4 linked regions of the Drosophila melanogaster genome follow. The gene in region 2 interacts genetically with the main gene of each other region. Each region holds a gene or a part of one and is shown on either strand. Other genes may lie near its edges.

Evidence for each region.
Region 1: of park (region 2) and Sod2, changing one suppresses a phenotype caused by changing the other (phenotypic suppression), as found in Drosophila melanogaster (2 studies listed by BioGRID).
Region 3: of park (region 2) and Opa1, changing one suppresses a phenotype caused by changing the other (phenotypic suppression), as found in Drosophila melanogaster (2 studies listed by BioGRID).
Region 4: of park (region 2) and Marf, changing one suppresses a phenotype caused by changing the other (phenotypic suppression), as found in Drosophila melanogaster (4 studies listed by BioGRID).

The regions. Positions count from the first base shown.
Region 1 is NT_033778.4:16,772,278-16,775,491, forward strand, and holds Sod2 (superoxide dismutase 2 (Mn)), read right to left. Parts: upstream 1,639-3,214; 5' UTR 1,513-1,638; coding exon 1,478-1,512; intron 1,362-1,477; coding exon 743-1,361; 3' UTR 508-742; downstream 1-507. Other genes in the region: Arp53D (Actin-related protein 53D), read left to right, coding at 1,985-2,072, 2,126-3,214. UniProt on the Drosophila melanogaster protein: Destroys superoxide anion radicals which are normally produced within the cells and which are toxic to biological systems.
Region 2 is NT_037436.4:21,194,210-21,198,420, reverse strand, and holds park (parkin), read left to right. Parts: upstream 1-1,567; 5' UTR 1,568-1,645; intron 1,646-1,651; exon of another isoform or gene 1,652-1,708; 5' UTR 1,709-1,718; coding exon 1,719-1,976; intron 1,977-2,035; coding exon 2,036-2,228; intron 2,229-2,284; exon of another isoform or gene 2,285-2,303; coding exon 2,304-2,649; intron 2,650-2,774; exon of another isoform or gene 2,775-2,790; coding exon 2,791-3,235; exon of another isoform or gene 3,236-3,290; coding exon 3,291-3,387; exon of another isoform or gene 3,388-3,464; coding exon 3,465-3,574; 3' UTR 3,575-3,667; downstream 3,668-4,211. Other genes in the region: Targ1 (terminal ADP-ribose protein glycohydrolase 1), read left to right, coding at 296-661, 784-872, 931-961; Targ3 (terminal ADP-ribose protein glycohydrolase 3), read right to left, coding at 967-1,116, 1,176-1,350, 1,404-1,525. UniProt on the Drosophila melanogaster protein: E3 ubiquitin-protein ligase which accepts ubiquitin from E2 ubiquitin-conjugating enzymes in the form of a thioester and then directly transfers the ubiquitin to targeted substrates, such as Paris, Marf, Opa1, Miro, pnut, Septin1, Tom20 and porin.
Region 3 is NT_033778.4:14,230,078-14,237,321, forward strand, and holds Opa1 (optic atrophy 1), read right to left. Parts: upstream 5,373-7,244; 5' UTR 5,238-5,372; coding exon 5,209-5,237; intron 5,111-5,208; coding exon 4,813-5,110; intron 4,752-4,812; coding exon 4,616-4,751; intron 4,483-4,615; coding exon 4,366-4,482; intron 4,266-4,365; coding exon 4,191-4,265; intron 4,130-4,190; coding exon 3,540-4,129; intron 3,485-3,539; coding exon 3,111-3,484; exon of another isoform or gene 3,053-3,110; coding exon 2,888-3,052; intron 2,827-2,887; coding exon 2,639-2,826; coding exon of another isoform or gene 2,625-2,638; exon of another isoform or gene 1,888-2,624; coding exon 1,415-1,887; intron 1,350-1,414; coding exon 1,231-1,349; intron 1,168-1,230; coding exon 1,083-1,167; intron 1,023-1,082; coding exon 818-1,022; intron 762-817; coding exon 697-761; 3' UTR 534-696; downstream 1-533. Other genes in the region: Snrk (SNF related kinase), read right to left, coding at 6,003-6,698, 6,762-7,244.
Region 4 is NC_004354.4:6,364,017-6,371,445, reverse strand, and holds Marf (mitochondrial assembly regulatory factor), read right to left. Parts: upstream 5,498-7,429; 5' UTR 5,214-5,497; intron 4,814-5,213; 5' UTR 4,590-4,813; coding exon 4,283-4,589; intron 4,088-4,282; coding exon 3,798-4,087; intron 3,728-3,797; coding exon 3,389-3,727; intron 3,115-3,388; coding exon 3,103-3,114; intron 2,921-3,102; coding exon 1,994-2,920; intron 1,925-1,993; coding exon 1,754-1,924; intron 1,654-1,753; coding exon 1,457-1,653; intron 1,388-1,456; coding exon 1,186-1,387; 3' UTR 522-1,185; downstream 1-521. Other genes in the region: swa (swallow), read left to right, coding at 5,850-6,120, 6,302-7,141, 7,230-7,429. UniProt on the Drosophila melanogaster protein: Mitochondrial outer membrane GTPase that mediates mitochondrial clustering and fusion.

The sequences.
Region 1 (3,214 bases), on a different chromosome or scaffold from region 2:
AATTCCTTGATGGGCGTCAACAGTTCTCCTCACACACTCACAATCACAGTTCTTTATTAAATTATTATTGCACTCAAGTGGTTTATTTTGTATGTTTTTCATTCGTCACCGCCCTCAGGAAATTAAATGATTTTCCTTTGTTTCGTACTGGTCTCTCGATTTCAAAACTCCGGGCGATTTTCGAGGATGGCCATTACGCGAACAGGCAACAAACGACTCTGCCAGCGGCTGGCCATTTGTTCCACCATTCGGATACGCGTGCTGGAAAATTGTTTGCAGCTGCGCGCACGCAAGTTCGGGAAAACTCGGTGGAAATGTCAATTTTCCTCCCCCGATTTCGCGGCAGGCTGACTTTTGTTTTGTTTTTGTTTGGCTCGCGCACAGCTGATTTGCTAGAGATGGCACCATGGGCGGCAGTGTTGTAAAACATTTACAGTATTTGCGATATTTTAATTTAATATAAAAATTAATTTTTTTGGAGCGTAATAAAATTGATAAAAATAAAAAATATGAATAGGTATATGTATATTTTTTAATTCCTCAATGAAGTAATAGTTTCAATACGCCTTTGTGAAGCGTTATCTTCGGAAATTATGTTTTAAATTGTTTTATTCCCATTCATAAAAATTATAAAAATTAGTTGCTAGCTGGTACCAATTTATTAGCCGCAACTTAGACTACAATTTAGGATCTCCGATCCGCAGATGCTTATAGATTAAACATACGCAATCGCCGGCTGTGCTTAGCAACCGAGCTTCTTGGCCTCCTGGAAGCGGCACGAGATGTCATCCCAGTTGGCGATGTCCCAGATGGCCTCCACGTAGGAGGGACGCACGTTCTTGTACTGCAGATAGTAGGCGTGCTCCCAGACATCGATGCCGAAGAGCGGGATCAGGCCGGTGGAGGCCTCCAGGGGATCCTGGTTGGGCAGGGCGGCCAGTTGCAGTTTGCCCGACTTCTTGTTGAAGCCCAGCCAGCCCCAGCCGGAGCCCTGGACCGCCACGGTCAGCGTGGTCAGCTCCTTTTTGAACTCCTCGAGGCTCTTCCACTGCGACTCGATGGCCTTCTTCAGATCATCGCTGGGCTGGGTCTTGTTGGGCGAGAGGTTCTGCCAGAAGATGGTGTGGTTGATGTGGCCACCGCCATTGAAACGCAGGGCAGGAGCCAGCTGAATCAGCTTGGTGGTGTCGCTCTTCGACTTGGCCTCCTCCAGCTGCTCCTCGGCGGCATTTAGATTGTTGACGTAGGTCTGGTGGTGCTTCTGGTGATGCAGCTCCATGATCTCCCGGCAGATGATAGGCTCCAGGGCGGCATAGTCGTAGGGCAGCTTCGGTAGGGTGTGCTTGCCACGCACCGCCAGGCTGCAAAGGGTTAAGTGTGTCTTGTTTTATAATGTCCTCAAGATCAGGGTCGCCATTTGTTGCTATTTATGTAATCAGCCGGCATCGATTTGGGCATACTTTTTTTCGCAACTTACCTTGCAGTTTGCGAAATTTTACGGGCCACGAACATATCTGCGTTTTATTCGACTGCTAATAAGGCTAAGTCCCGATATCAGATTTTATATCAAATAAAACAAGGCTTACGTTCTCGTTATTTCGCTTGTTCTATTTGAACAATTTACTGCTAGAGATGAGCAGATGAGAAAATATCGAAAGACCCCAATCAGTCAGTGATGTGAGATCAACTTATATATATTGAAGTTAAATAGTAAAACTAAAAGAAATTAAAAACTATTTTTAATTGAAACATTGCACTGAAACATATTCAAATCATATTGAGGATTTCTTAAATATTTCTTATGTTTAAATACTACTTTAGTGACTATTAGCATATTTTAGCTGCTTACGTATCGACTGCATCCATTCGATTGATACTTGAATTAATCGATTTTTGGCCTCTGTATGTCATGGCGCTAAATTGGAAATAAACCATGAAATTAACGTCATAAGTTTAAAAATCCGACTGGAACACAGCACACAACATGTCTACATTTCAAATACCTTCCCGAATCAAAATCGATATAACAAATAAACGGGCACAGAACATTCTTCACAAATATCTACATTTACGTAAGTTGCTTAAATAAGCTAAAGATTTTATGATTTGACCATGATTCGTTCAGCAACCTCTCCTGGAAACATGAGCAGCGAGGTAGATAGTAATTCACACCACGCCGCAGTGGTTATTGACAACGGCTCTGGAGTATGTAAGGCTGGATTCTCCCCAGAAGATACTCCCCGTGCTGTCTTCCCGTCGATTGTGGGCAGACCTCGTCACCTGAACGTCCTGCTGGATTCCGTGATCGGTGATAGTGTTATTGGCGAGGCGGCAGCCCGAAAAAGGGGAATACTAACCCTAAAGTATCCCATCGAGCACGGAATGGTCAAGAACTGGGATGAAATGGAGATGGTTTGGCAGCACACGTACGAGCTCTTGCGGGCGGATCCAATGGATTTGCCGGCTCTACTCACCGAAGCCCCACTGAATCCGAAGAAGAATAGAGAGAAGATGACAGAGATTATGTTCGAACACTTTCAGGTGCCAGCTTTTTATGTAGCAGTTCAGGCTGTGCTCTCACTTTACGCCACCGGGCGTACTGTGGGCATTGTGGTGGACTCGGGTGATGGTGTGACGCACACGGTACCGATCTACGAAGGATTTGCCCTGCCCCACGCCTGTGTACGAGTTGATCTGGCCGGCAGGGACCTCACCGATTATCTATGCAAGCTGCTTCTGGAGAGGGGCGTTACAATGGGCACCTCTGCTGAACGGGAAATCGTGCGTGAAATCAAGGAGAAACTCTGCTATGTGTCAATGAACTATGCCAAGGAAATGGATCTCCACGGAAAGGTGGAAACCTATGAGCTGCCAGATGGGCAGAAAATCGTTTTGGGCTGCGAGAGATTCCGCTGCCCGGAGGCTCTCTTCCAACCCAGTTTGCTGGGTCAGGAGGTGATGGGCATCCACGAGGCCACCCATCACTCGATAACCAACTGCGACATGGATCTGCGAAAGGATATGTATGCGAACATTGTTCTCTCTGGCGGTACGACCATGTTTCGTAACATCGAGCATAGATTCCTGCAAGACCTAACCGAAATGGCTCCACCATCCATCCGAATCAAGGTTAACGCTAGTCCAGACCGCAGATTCTCCGTTTGGACGGGTGGTTCCGTCTTGGCCTCACTCACGAGCTTCCAAAACATGTGGA
Region 2 (4,211 bases):
TGCTTGGGACTTGTGGCATCATATGCACCAAATACTTATATAGTTGATAAGAACGATACACCTAAGAGGTTTTTATAGCACACAAAGTTTCCATATTTGGTTATTTATACTGTATTTAATGTATTAATAAATAAAACACGTCCTCGAGAGGATATTAACCAAAGATTGGAGTTTTGATAAATACATATATATACCCTTACGAACCATTATCTAGTGTTATCGTATGACCAAAAATTAATCTAGTAGCTGCCTGTTACACTAAGTCAGACAGATCTAAAACCCTTATTTAAACTAAATGTATTCTCCCAAACTTCTAGAACTACGTAGCGCATTTCGGCGAGCTTTTGTAGTCGGAATGTCATCCAAACCTCAGTACACCCTAAGCGAAGTGGATGGGGATCTGTTTTCCGCCCCCAAGACCTATTCCTTGGCGCACTGTGTGGGCGCAGATCTTGCGATGGGTGCTGGAATTGCCGTGCAGTTCAAGAAGGTATTCGGAAGGTTGGACGAGCTGCAAGCCCAACAAGCGGGCAGTGGAGATATTGCGGTGCTGAAGGATGACCAGCGGTACATTTACTACCTAGTAACCAAGCCTCAGAGCTGGGGAAAGCCCACCTACGAATCTGTACAAGCATCTTTGGAGCAGATGCGTGAGCATATGGTAAATACATGCCTGATACATATCTTTTATGAATGGAATGTATCCCTGCTTTTATTTATTATATATATAAAGCTTAGACAAGTTATATTAATAAGAGCTACATTTTATTATTCCTACATTAGCGCAAAAACAACGTGAATAAGCTGGCCATCCCAAAAATTGGCTGCGGAATTGATGGCTTGGAATGGGAAAAAGTCAGCGGAGTCCTCGAGTACGTTTTTGGCCAAGAGCCGCTGGAGATTGTTGTCTACAATTTTGTGCCTCCACAGGGAAAATAATGGATCGTTTAGTTTAATATGAGCCATTTACTTCATAGCAACATAATTATAAACGACCAGCTCAACAGAATCCGCTTGAAAAACCTGGCAAATTATTTCCTTAACTTTGGGCCAGTTTAGGCCATCCAAACCGCATCCAATGCGGGGCATGGCTAGCTTGGGTACTTGGTGGGAGATCTGCAAATGGTAGAAAGATTCGTATATCATAACTTCTTATAGAAGATACATAAACATACCATGTGTTTTCGCATGGCGATCAAGGAACTCTGGAGAAGTTCGTAGGTGGGCTTTCCCCAGCTGGATTTCTTGGTGATCAGATAGTAAATAAATCGCTGCTGGTCCTGAAGGACAGCCACGCCGCCTGGCTGAACATTTTGTCTCTGCAAATTCAACAACTGTCCAAATTTGTTTCTGGAAAATAGGCAAATTTACCATTTTATTAAAAACACTAAGCCATTACCTACCGAAACTTTACAGCTATGCCTCTGCCCATTCGCAAATCGGCAGCCACGCAGTGGCACATGGAATAATCCCTTTGGCATTTGAATAGGTCGCCATTGATCTCTCTGTAAGTTAGTCCTGACATTTCCATAAAACTTTTACATTTATACTCCTCCGACTTCTTCACAAAAATTGTTTTCAATTGTGCGCTTTCTGCGTGTCCACGTTTTCCTCCGAATGGCTGCCAGCTGGTGTTTGGCAACGCGTAAGTAAACAACGATTGGCAACACTGAAGCATATACACTGCACTAAAATTAAACCCGATCAGCTGATAACAAATGAGTTTTATTTTTAAATTTATTGCCACTTTTGTACGCAAAATGCTGGAGCTGTTGCAATTTGGAGGGAAAACCCTTACGCACACGCTGAGTATTTATGTAAAAACGAACACGGGCAAAACGCTGACCGTTAATCTGGAGCCCCAGTGGGATATTAAAAACGTAAAGGAACTGGTGGCACCACAATTGGGACTTCAGCCGGATGATCTAAAGATCATATTTGCCGGTAAGGAACTAAGCGATGCCACGACAATAGAGGTAAGAAGTTTCTTTAATGTATCCGCTACATGAAGTTAACTTTTACTGTCTTCTAGTAGCAATGTGACTTGGGTCAGCAAAGCGTTTTGCATGCCATTCGTTTGCGACCGCCCGTGCAGCGCCAGAAAATCCAGTCGGCCACTTTGGAGGAGGAGGAACCTTCGCTTAGCGATGAAGCCTCCAAGCCTCTAAATGAAACTCTGTTGGACTTGCAGCTGGAAAGCGAGGAGCGTCTGAATATAACCGATGAAGGTAGGCAACAATTAGTTTTTATTGTTTTTTTTTTTTTTAACGAAACCCCTTGTAATCCCGTCGTATCCTCTCCAGAAAGAGTCCGTGCCAAAGCGCATTTCTTTGTACATTGCAGCCAATGCGATAAGCTGTGTAATGGCAAACTTCGGGTCCGCTGCGCTTTATGCAAGGGCGGCGCCTTTACTGTCCATCGTGATCCGGAGTGTTGGGATGATGTCTTGAAGTCGCGTAGAATTCCCGGTCATTGTGAAAGTCTGGAGGTGGCCTGCGTGGACAACGCGGCTGGCGATCCGCCCTTCGCTGAATTCTTCTTCAAGTGTGCTGAGCATGTCTCCGGCGGGGAGAAGGATTTTGCGGCTCCATTGAATCTAATCAAGAATAACATCAAGAATGTTCCTTGCCTGGCCTGCACGGATGTGAGGTGATTATGCAATAAGGAACATCTTAATTTCTTATAATTTTCATATCATCGAAAATGTCATAAAAAGTTCTTTTAAAGTCTTTAAAGTAATTATTTGTCATATAATTTTATTCTGCTATAATCACCTTATTATGTTCGCAGTGATACCGTGTTGGTTTTCCCCTGCGCATCGCAGCACGTCACCTGTATCGACTGCTTCCGCCATTATTGCCGTTCCCGTTTGGGCGAGCGTCAGTTTATGCCGCATCCGGACTTCGGCTACACCTTGCCCTGTCCCGCAGGCTGCGAGCACTCGTTCATCGAGGAGATTCATCACTTCAAGCTGTTGACACGCGAGGAGTACGATCGGTACCAGAGATTCGCCACCGAGGAGTATGTCCTACAGGCAGGTGGAGTACTCTGCCCCCAGCCAGGATGCGGCATGGGCCTTTTGGTGGAGCCCGATTGTCGCAAGGTGACATGCCAGAACGGCTGTGGATACGTGTTCTGCCGCAATTGTCTGCAGGGCTACCATATCGGGGAGTGTCTGCCCGAGGGGACGGGCGCCAGTGCCACAAACTCCTGCGAGTACACCGTGGACCCAAATGTGAGTTGGCTCTTATACGGCCCATTCCCGCTTGTGTAATCATGTGCTTTTTTAGCGAGCTGCCGAGGCGCGATGGGATGAGGCCAGCAATGTCACCATCAAAGTCAGCACAAAGCCCTGTCCAAAATGCAGAACCCCCACGGAGCGAGATGGTGAGTTGGGCGAGCATCGAAGACACCCAAGACGCAGTTTGTAACACATCCATACCGTCTTCTTCTCTTCCTACCAGGCGGTTGCATGCACATGGTCTGCACACGCGCTGGCTGCGGATTCGAGTGGTGCTGGGTCTGCCAGACTGAGTGGACACGCGACTGCATGGGAGCCCACTGGTTCGGCTAATCCTTCGTCATCGTTGTACGTCGGCCCGACGGGTCCTTTTTGTTTGTTGACTACTTTTAAATTGTATACCATAGTAAAGACTGCTCGAACAACACCCTGTTTGTCGTCTACGCAATCAATAGCAGAAACACCCCTGACAAGGACCAACGCGAATCACATCCTACCCCACTCTGTTCCTTTGTTGCGTGCGCACAAAAACTTTGTTTACGTTTTTTTTTAAGCTCGCCCACAAATATTTTGAGGGCTTTCCTCTTCGGCCAGGCATGCGAAAACCGCAACAAACACGTGCATTTGGCCAAACAGCCAGAGAGCGAGTGCCGCGAATGCGCAGTGGGTGGTCAGCGGCACAAGGTTCATGTGATTTCAACCCAGGCGCGTAGCCGCAAGGGGACTAATAATTGATTGGGGGATGGTAAAGGCATTTCAAAAATGTTCCTGGATTTTCAAAAGTACTAACTACTATTCTTGCTAAAGAGAGAAAACACAAAAGAGAAAATTATTAAGAAACTGAAACTTAAATTTTGGCCGTTAATACGTAAAATTAAATATTTCACTTTAATACAGTTTTATAATTCATATGTGCAACCGCCCTAGGACACATCTGTAAATCAATAGATTTTAGGCAATTATATATAGG
Region 3 (7,244 bases), on a different chromosome or scaffold from region 2:
AGTTATTTAACATGATAGGGAACGAGCATTTGTTTACCTTGTAAGAGATATGGTACTGCACCGCAATCACGGACTTGTTATGTTACATAGCTAGCTACATACATAGTTAGCTAGATATACGTTTATCAATCAAACAATCAATCAATTAGAGACGCGGCCAGACGATCGGTCGGGGTTAATGCACCCACCACCGATCTCGATACCGATACAGATGCCGGCGCATCGCGGGATTAGCCGATCGTGGACAAAACGAAACAAACAATCAACCGCACGATGAGGCATCTGGTAAAAGTGCTGTGCTCTTATGCAAACCGATTTAAATATATATGTATATATATATATTACACGATACAGATTCAGAAACACACACGGACCGCTACATACTCAGCACGATGAGTGCGTTTCGCGTTAACGTTTATCAACTACAATTACATTAAAACAGAATGAATGATTTATATTACATTTAAATTAATGAGTTTACATTGCATTGCATGCGACATAAGGTTACACTTCATAAACAATAAAGACGATTTCAATAATACGAACTAACGATCTATTTGTTTATTACTTTCGGAGCACAAAGTATGCTTAACTAAGGGGCTCAAGCGTGACTATGAACAAACATTTCAAATGTGGTCTTAAACTATCAAGTTAAATAAGTAACGCCTCGGGTGTTGTGTCTTTGGTCATGGCACACTACTTTTCCTGATTAAGTGAATTGATGAACTCCTCCAGCTTCTCTTGGATCTGCCGCACTTTGACTGTTGAATTGAAAGCAATTAAATTGGCGCCAAATTCAATTAAGCAAAGCACTCACTTAGCTCCTCGGCTAGTAGCACGCGCTTGCCGGTGAGCAGGTAACCCTTCTTCTCCTCGTCATCGCTGAACTCGTCCAGCACCGCTTTGATCTCCTTGTCCAGCCGCCGCGCCTCCCGATTGATTACTTGCTGTCTCAGTGCGTTGCCTGTTATCTTGATCACCTGCTGGATGCGCCAGAAGAGCACGACGTCGCTGCAGGATATCTGAGAAAGCAATAAGTTAAGTAAATTGGTTCAGATAAGAGGGAAAACCTTAACACTTACCTCACACTCGGCTCCCTGCTGCGTGTAGAGGTAATATGCTTTGCGGCAATCCTTTGCCCTCTGTAACGCCTGCTGCAGAAAGTGTCTGAAAAAAGAGACATATGTGCTAACTGATAAGCAGTCTAAATGGTTTAGCATTACAACTTACTTTCTGTAGACCGGGAACCACGTTTGCCTTATGTAGTCCGTGTCCACATCCACGTTATCACGCTGAAGGTTCTTGCGAACCGTAGTCAGTTCATCATGGGTCAGGGTGGGCAAATGTTTCTACCAACATAATGTAATGCGTGTAAATGAGGAATAACTAACTATATAATGTATACTACCCATACCGTATCGTTTTTGAGTATTTTGTCGAGTTCGTTCTTAACGCTTCGCCTCTTCTGCTGATCCTGCGTCAGGTACTGCCAGTGGGTAATTCGTCGCATTTGGCCGGGACCAAACATTTGTGCTAAAGTCTCCTCCGTCTGCACGAGCTTGGCATTCACCGAACTCTCCAGGAACTTAACCGCCGAATCCCACTCCTGCTTGTCGTGCACGAACCGATCCTCCAGCGTATTCAGCTGGATAACGCGAAGCATGTCGATGGCCTTGTCCTCCCAGCTGTGCCGACGTATAGCCTCATCCACCACCGCAGACTTCAACTGATCGAAGATGCCGTCGTGATCCTGCGCCTTCTTCGAACGCTCCATCAGCGATATGAATTCCTGCTGCAACGCTTCCCAGCCAGCTTCCACCGACTTAGCGGGCAGTGCCTGCTCGGCCCACTGGCGCAACTTGATGTCTACCATCGTGTTGAAGGAATCTATAAAGAGCATAGTAATCGTATGAAATTAGTTGAGCCAAATTAACTAGACACACAACTACGGGGGGAATGATAAACAAAGCGACGAAACATTCAGATTCCTAACTCGATAACTGCAATTTAATTCAATTAGACATTGATTTGGATGAATTCATTGAGCAAATTAACAGGTCTGTCATAAAATGCTAAATAAACACAAGCTGAGCGATGGCTTAAACGGGTTTTTCGGTCATAAATCGCTAATATCGCATACGTTTTTATAATGTGAACATAAACCAAAATCTGGTTTCGGTACAGGTGCTCGTAAATCTTCGTTATAAGCGACTTTCCGGCACATGATCGCAACGCAGAACCTGTGACAATCCCGGGTCACTATTTTGGGGCAAAGGCAAACGGTGTTAATGGGATTCGAAATCGTCCGCCGGGGAGTACACATTAAATTTACACTTGTGATTCAAGAAATGTTGCAGGAATATCAGTCAAACCGGTTTGAAATTATTTAACGCATGTGATTCCCTTGCACGGGAATTCGACGCTGAATGCGGGCCATGATAAATACAAAATTAAACAAAACATTTAAACGACACAACGTTTTGCAGAGACACGTGAGGTTCGAGGCCAAGCCATATCTTCTTGCAAGAAACACACACAATGACGGAGCACACAAGGCGGGCGATTGGATGGACGTGCCCCCATCGATGACGTCGGCGAAATCTGCTTACAACCTACACTTAGTACTACAAAATATTACTTTGAGAACCTGACTGTGCAGCGGGCAGATAGATGCTTTCAAACACATAATTGGAGAGCTTTTCCCATAGCTTGGTGCTCAGAGCGTCGTCCCACTTTTTAGCGGAGATTTGCGAGAGCGTTACCACCTCGTCCAGTATCTCGCCCTTTGCCTTGTCGAACAGCTCATCTCGACCAGACTCGCGCAATCTAAAAGAGTATACCTCAAATGTTATAGATCTCTTATATTTTTTAAAACATTTTTACAAACCTGGGGAAGTTATTTTTCCATTCGGTTTCCAGATTAAATCTAGTCGCCTTAAATGCATCCGCCTGCTGCTCAATGGTTTCCCTCACCATCTTCCAGAAACGATCTGACACCGCCAAGCTCAGATTGCGGCTGGTCACCTGATGGGGCATGATAACCCCTCGACGACTAAGTATGGAGAGAGGTGAACTTTGGAATTTACCAATCACATCCTCTCTATACTTACTGGAAAAGCTTGGAGTTCTTAAAGAAGTCTTCCTCATACTGCCGAATAGCATCTATGCTGTCATCCTTTCGTCCACGACCGGTAACGACGGCATAGTAGCCCAAAGCCTTCATGGGGAAGAGTTTGCCCGAAAGGATTTTCCTTATTCTATCAGGATCGGCGAGCTCCTCGGCCAGATCCACCTTTGTGAGCACAAAAATAGTGCGTCGACCCAAGGGATCGCACTGCATGACCAAGTCTGTCACATTACTGCGCTCAGCGTCCACAGATCCATCCTGAATGCAGAGAATGATGGCGTTCGGATTGCTCATATAATGCTTGGTCATCTGGTGAATGGAATCTTTTGTGTCTGAGGCCATGTCGACAGTCATGGTCTAAAATGATATTAGCATTAGATGTGCGCAGTTTTACTTGTATTGACTTGCTCACCGAAATTATTCCTGGCAAATCGACTAGAACCATGCGTTGCAGACCGGGACCCTTGACCGTCATGGCAATGACTTCATTGCTGACGGTTTTACCACCTCTCACCGACGCCTTCATTCGGAACTCCACATCCCGACGGAGGTCCTGCAGATCAGACTCCTTGGTGAGATCGTATTCCCGGTCAGAGTCACGGAACTGAGCCACATGGTATGGTCCTTCAGCCAGAGTAACTTTGACTGGGGCTCGCGTCATCATCTCTCCACTGCCACGGGGAAAGATGCGAGCCTTAGCAATGGATTCCAGGACAGAGGTCTTGCCGCTGCTCTGATCTCCCACTACCACAACACGGGGTAGGTGATCGGCCATGGTGTAGCCCGTATCGTAGCCGGATAGCTCATCAAGGACCTCAGAGTACATGTCGATCAGGGATTTTTTGATTTTTTTTGCCGTGGTCTTTTTGTTTGTTTTCAGGATGAGGTATTGCTGGCGTAGTTCACGGTTCTCCTTCTCCATCTTCTCCAGCTCCTTTTGGTACTTAATCTGGACGTTCATGATCTCCGTCTGCAGCGTCTCCACCTGGCTCTGGAGTTTCTCTGCGGAATCACAGAAGGATTAGATATAGTATATCTTTCGGCAGGTGTGCAAAAAACCTACCATACTTCTTACGACTCTCATCGGATGTTATGCCTAAAGCGGCCACCGTTGTTTTGGCCTTTAAGTCATCTTTGGCTGCAACAGATGTTAGGAATAAGTCTCGAATGCGGTAGATAGGGATCTCTCACTTTAAATGGTCCCAACGTTGGGAGTCTGTGTAATTTGTGTAACCTACTTTCGACAATCTGAACTCCTTGATAATCGGCCGCCTCGATGGCATCGTCCAGACGACTGTCAAACCAGTTGCGCCATTCCGACAACTTATCCTCGCCCAGCTGCTTGAGCTTTGGATCTACAAGCAAACGCCCCAATAACATCAGTATCAATCAATCAAAACGAAGAGTTCAATGCGAATCTGACCAAGGTATATGACCATTTAAAGTGAGAGATTGAAAGGGCGATGGTAGGTCTACATGGACACTCACCAACTTCGATGGCGTTCTTCACCAGCGAGCCCACCTCAATGAGATTCCGCGAGAACTGGCTCCACCGTTCGCCCTGCGGCATGGCATCCTCCAGCCACTTAAAATTCGGCAGTCCATCCTTCCATTCCTCGTATTTCTGCGGAAAACAAATCATGTCTCCTAAGTTCTATACAAGTTATATAACTTGCGAAACTCACTTTGCTCAGCGACACGCCCCCGCCGATGGCGCCGCCCAGGACGATGTATCGCAGCTTGAGGGCTCCCCGCAGTATGCGCACCACCAGCATTCCGTAACCACGCGACGGCGGAGGCATTTGCCAGCCCCGCGCCGGATTGCCGGCAAGTAGGAACTCCTCGTGGCCACGGTGCCTGCCATTCGAACTGGAGCTCCCGCTATCCTGCGCCCGACGTGGATGGCTGGTGATGCCACAGAGCGTGGAATGATTGCAGCAGGCGACCTTGGTGGAGTAGACAACAGCTTTTCTCGCGGTGCGCCTGTGGGCAAAACACATTGAATGATGAGATTCGCCGATGACGAAATCGTGCAGAAAATCTGCACGTAAGGCTTTCGCGTTTCGGGCGTGGTCTCTCACCGGTAAGTATTTTGATAGATGCGCAACATAATTGCTGGTCAGGATTACAGTTTCCACTTAGTTTACTTTGTTTATTTCCGTGAATAATTCAATTTTCCTGCCGCAAACTCATCTCTGAAAAACTTTACGGGATGTGCTCTGTGTGACCAGAGTTGAAAAGGGTGGCTTGTACTCGTTTGGGGTACCTGCATTAGGTACAATGTATTTTACACGCATCATTTTGTAAAATAAAAGAATATATTTTTGTATATTGTATATTTTTCTTACAATAAAAAAAAATTGCTTGGTGACATCCATCATTGCTTAACTACATCTTAAGAGCTTTAAGTAGTTAAATGTTTATTGCTTTATTTCCTTTACCTACTCTACAACATTTGTGGTGTGTACACACTGTAGTTGGGCGCAAACATTTGAATTGCCAATTTTAGATTGTGCGAGTTGCGAGTTTCATTCCATTTTAATTCGTCACAATTTGTTAAAAAGAAAACAAATAACCTTTTTAGTCAATTGTCATATGGGCATTAATGTATTTTCACTAAATATTGCATTGAGTGATTAGACTTATAATTAACATAAATTAATATATTTAGAATAATTTAAGCGTAATGACGACGACAGACAAAACAATTACGCTACCACTAAATTTAAATATTCTCGCGCTCTTTCCTATATACGGGGGATAACGTTGACGTTTATACGTTTTAATTAATACATGCATATTTTCTATGTAGTTCGCTTAACCGAGTTTCTTTTTAATATTTAGAATGCACTTTGCAAAGAAGTAACTGTGTCTATTAAGAGAAGTTCATCACGGGAAAATATTTTCCCAGCCGTCGGATTTTCTTCATGGTGACAAAGCATTTAGAGCCGGTAACGTGTATTGCTTTGGTAAGGCTTTTATCCTCCAAAATCAAGTCGATATGCTCGATTGAGTTCAGATTATAAATATCTTTTGGTGTTTCGTTGGACTTCTTGCCGTTGGCTTTCTGGCTACTGATGTGGATGATGCTCTGGTTGTGATTGTGATTGAAGTTCCTACTAAGATTGGTATTGTTATTAAAATATTGCTCTTGTTGAAGCGTTGCTTTGGCTGCATTCAAAGTATTCATGATTTGGTCCGTGGCATTTGTGGCGTCTGCCTCCTCGTCGTACTCCTCCTTGGTTTCGGCAACGGAGAATGTGCTAGTGTTTAGGCTGAGTAAAGAATATCTCTGATCGATATGTTGGGTGGACGAGGACGACGAGGATGCTGCCTCGCTCTCCGCGTAGCATCGATGCCGCATCTCGTATTCCTGAGCCTCTGTGATGCGGTCCAGCGACTGGCTCTCGCGAATGCGCCGCCTTCTATTCGTGGAATTTCCTGTTGTAGCTGTGCTGCTATCCGCCAGCTGCCTCTCAGCGTGGGAATGCTTATCAACATGATCCTTGTTGTGCTGTTTCCGATTTTTTTGGCTGTGAGATTTGCGATTTTCATCGGATTTGTTATTTGGCTGTAAGCAAAGAATATAAGTTTAGTAGCTGTCTCACTGATAATTATACAATAATAATCGTACCTCTTTATACTGCGATTGTCCCTCTTTTTTGCCGCTTACTGAGCCGCTTTTGGAGATAAAATTACCCGCATTGCTGGCCGAGCCGGGCGGCGGATATAGCTGATCTTGCGAGTCGCTGGAGTCGTCATGCGAGTCGCGACGATGCATGCGAAACCGCACTGGCGTGTCACCGACAAATTTGTTAATCTTTTTCTTGTTGCGTGTCTTGGTGTCGTCGTCTGAGGCCTCCGAGCTGCTGCATGAAGGCGTCCGAATCTTGTTCAGCTTTGTGCGACGGTGGGTAAGCACCGGATTCTTGCTGCTGCTAGGAAGCGGCTTGAGCTTGCCGATCTCCAGCTCCTTCAGACCACTCAGCGTGTCCTCATCGATCTTGGCACTCTTCTCCATCTGCTTGAGCTTATGGGCCAGCGTTGCATCCACCGAGACGACAATCTTTGTACGTGAATGGCTTGGCACTCCGCTATTAGCTATCTGTTCGCCTTT
Region 4 (7,429 bases), on a different chromosome or scaffold from region 2:
TGTAACTTGTAATTTTCGTCTCTTTTTTTGTATGGCAAAAACACATATCTAATTCTTAAGAGCACAGTTAAAAAAAAACTTTGTTATTAGTTTCCGGCAAGTCCAAAGAGAGGGGAACACGTGAATTGATTTCTTTAAGTTGTATATCCAAGTATTGTATTTACTGATAACGGATGCTAATGGAAGCAAGAAGTATATAGAGATTCACTTTGTTATTTTGTATTCCAAACCTACATATTTATTTCTGTGAACAAACACAAAAATCATATACTTTGTACATTTTGTATTAGTAATGCTTTGAAGGAAATAAGAATAACTAAGAATAACCCAATTGTGTGATCCCGATCAAAACGATATGATTAAAACAAAAAAGACAATTCGAAATGCGTTGTCCGGTAATCAGTGGGAAAAACCAGGTGTCCCTTATTCCGCTCCCAAAATGTCCATCATCCGTCTCTGTCGTTTTCGCGACACGGCTCCGATATTCAAAGTTCCACTGAAATAATTTCGATTATGAGTTTCTTACATAAATATCATTTATTTCGTTTCGTTTTCGTTCATGAATCATTCTCATTCTCATGCTTTGCAACATCTCAACAATTGTGTTTTCATATATATTGGTTTGCTTTGCCCCAACATTTATTCTAGCGTCCCAACTCAAAAACAAATATGTATAAGTACTAGACTTTCTATTAGGGGCGAAAAAGAGGTAAATAAGTGAGTGACTTTCGCATTCTGGGGTCGGTCATCATCATGTGGCATTCATAATTCCTCGCAACTTGCTTTTCCATGGCACCTGGCCATGCTCACAGTGTTTTGGATACTTCTCTATTTGTATATATATATACGCGTGCGTTTCCGGGTCAACAATTACAAAAAAAAGAAAACTAAATAATCACACTAGCAGAGTAGTGCATGTTAGGAATTAAAAGAATTCTCAACAACAACAACGATTTGTTTAAACGATAGAGAATAAAGAGGTTCCAATCGATTGGCTCATATCATGCATTTTCTTACAAAAAAAATAAAATAAAAGAGGAGAGAAAAACTGAGAGTTGAGCAGCAAATACGTGGTGCATTAATGTTGTTGTAGTCGTTTGGGTGTTTGTCTTCGCCTGATTTCTATGATCATCCACATTCTGGTTAGTGTTTTGCCCCACGGTCAGCCAACCCACTACTGTTCCACTACTGCGGCGATATATAGTTGTGCTCGAAGATGTCCAGCTCGTTCTGTATGTAGTTGGCCTTGTTGCGAAGCAGCTTCAATTGCTTCTGGTTCGCCTCCAGGATGTTCAGCTGCGAGTCCAGCGTCTTGAGCTCATCATTCATGTCCGTGGTGGCGGTATCAACCGTGCGGCACAAACGGGCAAAGGTGCTCGACAATTCCCTGTTGAGATGTGACAGAGAATATTCGATAAGTGATCAGCGATTCAGACGCTAAGGGATCAATACTCACTGCTGCACTTGGTGGCTGCAGTTGGCCGAGGTGAGGTCGACAATCATCTTGAGCTTCTTGGTGGCATGGCGCACGTACTGCGACTTGAACGTTCGCTCCTTGGCTGAATTTGTCCACGAGAGGCGCTCGTACAGGTAGATGCAGCCGTAGAGGGCACCCACGCCCACCAGGACACGCCAGCCGATAGTTTTCAGCATCTGCAAGTGGTTTGATTTCATCACATAGCTATGCACTATCACCTGCTTGGTCGTTGGTAAGGACAAGAGGTGTTATGATAATTTAACCGTTAACACTTACGACACCGGCTACGACGAGACCACCAACGGTGCCCTGCGATCCAATGGAGGACACCGCGAAGCGTGAGATCAACGACAGCTGCTCGGGCGTAATGCCAGCCACAACGGGAGCGGGCAGCAGGCACACAGGAGTGGCTTCCACGGGCGTCGTGGTCGGCGTCGATACGCTGTGCTGTGAACGAGATTCGATGGCAGAGATATAGTAAAGGTGGTGCAACACAACTATACTGTAGAAACTCACTCCAATACTGCTCTGTCGATTGACCAGCGCCGGCTGGCCCTTCTTGCTGCGCTCGCGCACCTTGCCGGTGAAGCGCTGGATCATCGCCGCAATGCCCCAGCTGAACTTAAACTCCAGATCCTCCTGGAAGTCGGCGCAGAGGTTCTGGCAATTCAGTGAGTAGAGCATCTCGAAGGGCTGCGTGCGCACCACCATCTTGGTGCTGGTGGCCAGGAGCTGCTCGTTGGGCACCAGGGCGTGCATGCGATCGGTCATCTCCGTCTGGGCGGACTCGACGTTCATGGCCAGGGCCATGGATAGGCGGGCGCGCAGATTGCTGCCCAGGCCGCTCTCCACATGGGCATTCAATTCCTTTTTGTAGATGTTCAGCACCAAACGCTCCGGATGGAAGGGCATATTGAACTCGTCAATGAGTACGCCCAGGCGCCAGATCTCCTCGTTCAGCGCCTTTGACACCTTCTCCTCCACCTCCTCGACCATGTTGTGGATCTTCATCTTCATTTCCCGCGTAACCTGCATCATCTGCGTCTCTGTGCCCTGGATGCGTTCGGTGAGCAGGTTCTTCTGGTCCTGCTTCAGATTGCGGAATATGGTGATCCGCTCGTAAATGTTGTCCAACATTGATTTCATGTCACCCGAAACACTCTTGCCGCGCGAACTGTGCTGCTGGAACTTTGTTTTCACAGCACTCTGCGAGATGCACTCCTCGAACTTGCGCTCGAAGTCCTGGAACTCGAAGTAGCGTATCTGAAAGCCCTCGGCAATGGCACCCATGTGCGGCGGATTGCCCTTGGCCTCCTCGATGCGCGCCTGCAGCGTTTCCCTGGCGGAAACGAAGAATACCCTTTCGGCCGCCTCCTTCTCGTTGCTCACCTTTAGCTCCTTGGTGAGGAAGTCGATGCAGCGTTCCGTGTGCTGAGACTTAACCTATCAATTGATGAAATAAGCGTCTTAGAAAGTGCATAGATCAATCAATCAGGGCAACTAAGTAAGCTGCTTTGGGAAGAGTCAACAAGGAGGTGTTCATCGGTTCAATTCGATAAAGAGACCAAAGCAGAGTGGATTGGGTTTTTGTGGGACCAAGCAAGCGGGTCTAGCTCATTCATTACCTTAGCCAATTCCTGGCGTTGATTACAGTGGATAGTTGGTTGGTTGTTTGATAGATTGATTGGTTGGTTGGGTAATAAACAAAAACAAAAGACACACATCAACATAGAGAGACAACAGGCATACGAAGAGGTCCAAGAAATTACTTATGAGATGTGGCAGTGCAAAACTGCTGGCAAACGAACATATGTACACATATGTGGCATATGGTTCGCCTGCCATGTAATGGTAATGCAGGGTCTGACAGAGATTGTGGACTAACTAAAGGGGCCGCCTAGAAGATCATACCGATTCCTGGCACTCGGGCTCGTTGGCCGACGCATCCCAGCGATTGTTCAGGATGAAGATGTTCGGCTTGCTTAGCTTCTGCGAGACGGTGTGAAAGAACTGCTTCTCCGCACGCGTCATCGTTGACTCGGCATTCAGGACCAGCACAAAGACATCGGCGTTCAGGCAATGGTTATCGATCCAGTCGTCCAAATTGGCCGACACATCCACACCAGGTGAGTCCACAAAGACGACATCGTCGCGCAGCAGGCTGCAGCGTTCCCTCGGCCAAAAGATGCGCACCAAACTGCTCTCGCAGAGCTTCTCCTGGCACAAGGCATTCGCCAGTTGTTTGATGTTCTGCAAACAAGGGTCACTAGGTCATTAGGCGAAACACATTTCCCAGAGGAGAGCTGAGTAGCCCACTTACCACCACATTTAGCTTCTCCTCGGAGCCCTCTGTCATAAGATACGCCTCGCCGCCATTGCTGCCCTCCACTTGGCAGAAGCAATTCGTGGTGTGCCCAATGCCGCTGGGCAGGATCTTCTCGCGCAACATGGCATTAATCACCGAGCTCTTGCCGTTGGAGGTGCGTCCAAAGAAGGCCACCTTCATGTGATCCCGCTGCAGTACTTCGCGAATGGCCGCCACCTTGTACACATAGCTTTCGAACAGCTCCCGTTCCGCCTTGTCCACGATCTCCGCTTCCGCGTGCAGGGCTGAAAGAGCAACGAACATTGGTTTAACTGGGTATTTCGCCAAAGGCAATAGATGTTAGATAAGAATCAAAATTTCACCATTTCCCTTGTAAAACGATGAACTGAATCATAATCGTTCTTATCGAATACCATGCAACATAGAGGTTCAAGGATTGGCTTCTGTTGGGTATTTTAAAAATATAATACATAACTCACCGTTGATAAAGGTGGTCGTCTCATGGACATACTCCTCGATCTCGCCGTAGATATCGTTGATCTTCTTTTTGGCGCGCACAAAGATCTGGAGCGGTGATTTGTCGTTGGATTGATAGAGCCGCGATTCCGGTAGCAGATTGGCGGCCATTGTGGAGCCGGATTGTTGCAGCGATGAGTTGAACCGGGATAGCGGGGAACCGGGTCCGGATTTGTCCACCGTGTCCGTGGAGGAGGCGTGACGGTCGTCGTCGGCGGGGCCCGTTTGCCCGGTCACCATCGAGATGGTGCGGTTCAAGTAGGCCGCCATTTCGGGATCCGGTTTATGGTTGATTCGGTTTAGCAGATGGTTTTTTGGTAGAAGAAGAGAATTGCGATACAAAACAAAAGGTATGCAGCCCAGGGGATTTGGTTGTTCAGACTTCCAACTTCTGCAACTTCGCCGCCAACCCGAAACTCAAAACTTAACTATCTCTGTTTATTGTGTGTTATATTGCTTTTGGGGGTATTTGCTCAAAAATCAACGTCATAAAACTGAAACGAAATTAAATGAAAAATTATGACACGAAAGAAAAAACAAAACGATTGAATACAGTGCGCACCAGATAAGCTCAACTTGAGTGGTTTAAGTGTTAAACAAAATGTGCGCTACAAAATCAAGCATGTGTTTGCTAAGTATATCTTAGAGAGAACATAAACTATTGATTTGTTGTTCGCTATGTCGAGAGTGCACTGTATTTGGCGAAAAGGAAAATACCGCAACGCAAATTGCACGCACACACACACACGTGGTCCAATTGCGCTGCAAACAAATATAGGCGAAAAAAGTATAATAATCTAATGTTTTTGGTTTTTCTTTTTTCTGACAATTTACATCTGTGTGCGTAAATCGAGTTGATAAAGTTTAATCTGCCCTCTCGCTCTATCAACTAACCTGATTAATGCCACTCTCGCTCATATTTGTATTTGTTTTATTTTATATTTGTATTTATTTTCCTCTCCGGTTGTTCGATTCTTTTAATTGCTGCCCCTCAGCTGATGCGTTTTCAAATGGCAAATTGTGGAAAGCGTGGTTCGAACTTCCAATAACCGTACATTGCCGACTAGAATCCAGTTGCAGAGAAGCAATTTCACGAAATTTAGTTAATATTATTAATTTTTTTTAAATGCACATGATGTAACGTTAAGGTGACCAACTCATGTTGTTCGCTGACATCCGGCGTTAGTGCATTTTTATGCCTTCCCATGTCTAGTATATTTTTATGCCAGTCGAAAGCTTAATATGGTATTTTTTCAATTCGCTGCCATATTTAATTGAAATTAATTTTTTTCAATTACTACCACCTAGCTTATTTTTATTTTTATTGTCTAATTTAAATTTTGTCTAATTTAAAAATAGAATTTACCCTGACAATGATTTTCACTGATTGGAAATGGTCACACTAGCCAGTTTCCAGTTAGCCAGAATGTAACGGCGCCTTTCCCGCTCCAATTGGAATCCGCGTGTAATTTTGTGTCTCGTGTTAATTGTATTATTTCCCCCGCTTTTCGGATTTCCGCATAAAAAGCGATGAGTCTACAGGACGAGAGTTTTCCGACGGACGAGCTGTTTGACCAGCTGAACAATTTGAGTAGCAGTGGCGCCAGGAATACCTGGTTCGCGGAGCACCATAAGCCCGCAGTCTTCGAGCGGGATACAGCGCCATTTTTGGAGATCTGCTACGCGGATCCAGACTTTGATGCGGATGGGGATGTGGCCAACAAGAGCGCCAAGACATGCGTAAGCGATCCCGTGGGTCGTGATCAGGAGGATGAGGACGACTATGATGAGGATGTCGATGGTAAGAAGTGTTCGCTCTCTCTCTACACTTGCTTAACTACAATGGGAGAAATATTCCCATCAAACATATCTCATATATGTATAATTTTGGTACTTCCATGTCTCGATGTATAATGGGTACTTCATTCAATGGGCACAGTCAATTAGCTAGTGCTAACATGTATCCTTTCTTATTCAACCAGGCGATGATCATAAACTGGGTTGCGAGAAGGCTCCATTGGGCAGCGGGCGCTCCAGCAAGGCGGTCTCTTACCAGGACATCCATTCGGCCTACACGAAGCGCCGCTTCCAGCACGTGACCAGCAAGGTGGGCCAGTACATAGCGGAGATCCAGGCGCAGGACCAAAAGAGACGCAATGTGAAGTTCGCCGGATTCCAGCGAGTGAACTCTATGCCGGAGAGTCTAACGCCCACATTGCAGCAGGTGTATGTCCATGATGGTGACTTCAAGGTGGACAAAAACTGCCAGACTCACTCCAACTCCGATTCGAATTACAATTCCAATTCAAACAACTCTAGCAGCAGCTTTGATCGATTGCTGGCCGAGAACGAGAGCCTGCAGCAAAAGATCAACTCATTGAGAGTAGAAGCGAAGCGTCTGCAGGGCTTCAACGAGTATGTCCAGGAACGACTGGACAGAAAGACAGATGATTTTGTGAAGATGAAGTGCAATTTCGAGACCCTGCGCACCGAGCTAAGCGAATGCCAGCAGAAGCTTAGGCGCCAGCAGGACAACTCACAGCACCACTTCATGTACCACATTCGATCGGCGACCAGTGCCAAGGCCACTCAAACGGATTTCCTGGTGGACACCATACCCGCCTCCGGAAACGTCCTGGTCACACCCCATCCCCTGGGCGACCTGACCTACAACAGCAGCAAAGGATCCATCGAGTTGGCACTGCTCAGTGTGGCGCCTTCTGCCCGAGTGGCCCAGAATCCCGTCCAGGTCCAACGCGCGATTCATCCACAATCTTTGGACTTTAGCAGCGTTAGCACCGAAGCTGATGGCAGCGGTAGTGGTAAGCAATCGCAATGCTATTTTATTAGATCTGTAGATTATTTCGAATAAGATTGACTAACATGGATTTTTGTTGGTTTCTATTCAAGGCGAACATCGTGTGGAAACCTCATCCAGGGCCTTGGTCAGAAGAACCCCGGCGCCCAACAACTCGGAAACCAGCCAGCCGAGCAGCAACGACTCGGCCATCGAGGTGGAGGCGCACGAGGAGGAGCGACCCAGCTCCAGGCGGCAGTGGGAACAACAGGGGGAGCTCATCTCGCCCAGGCAATGGGGCCAGCATGAGGGC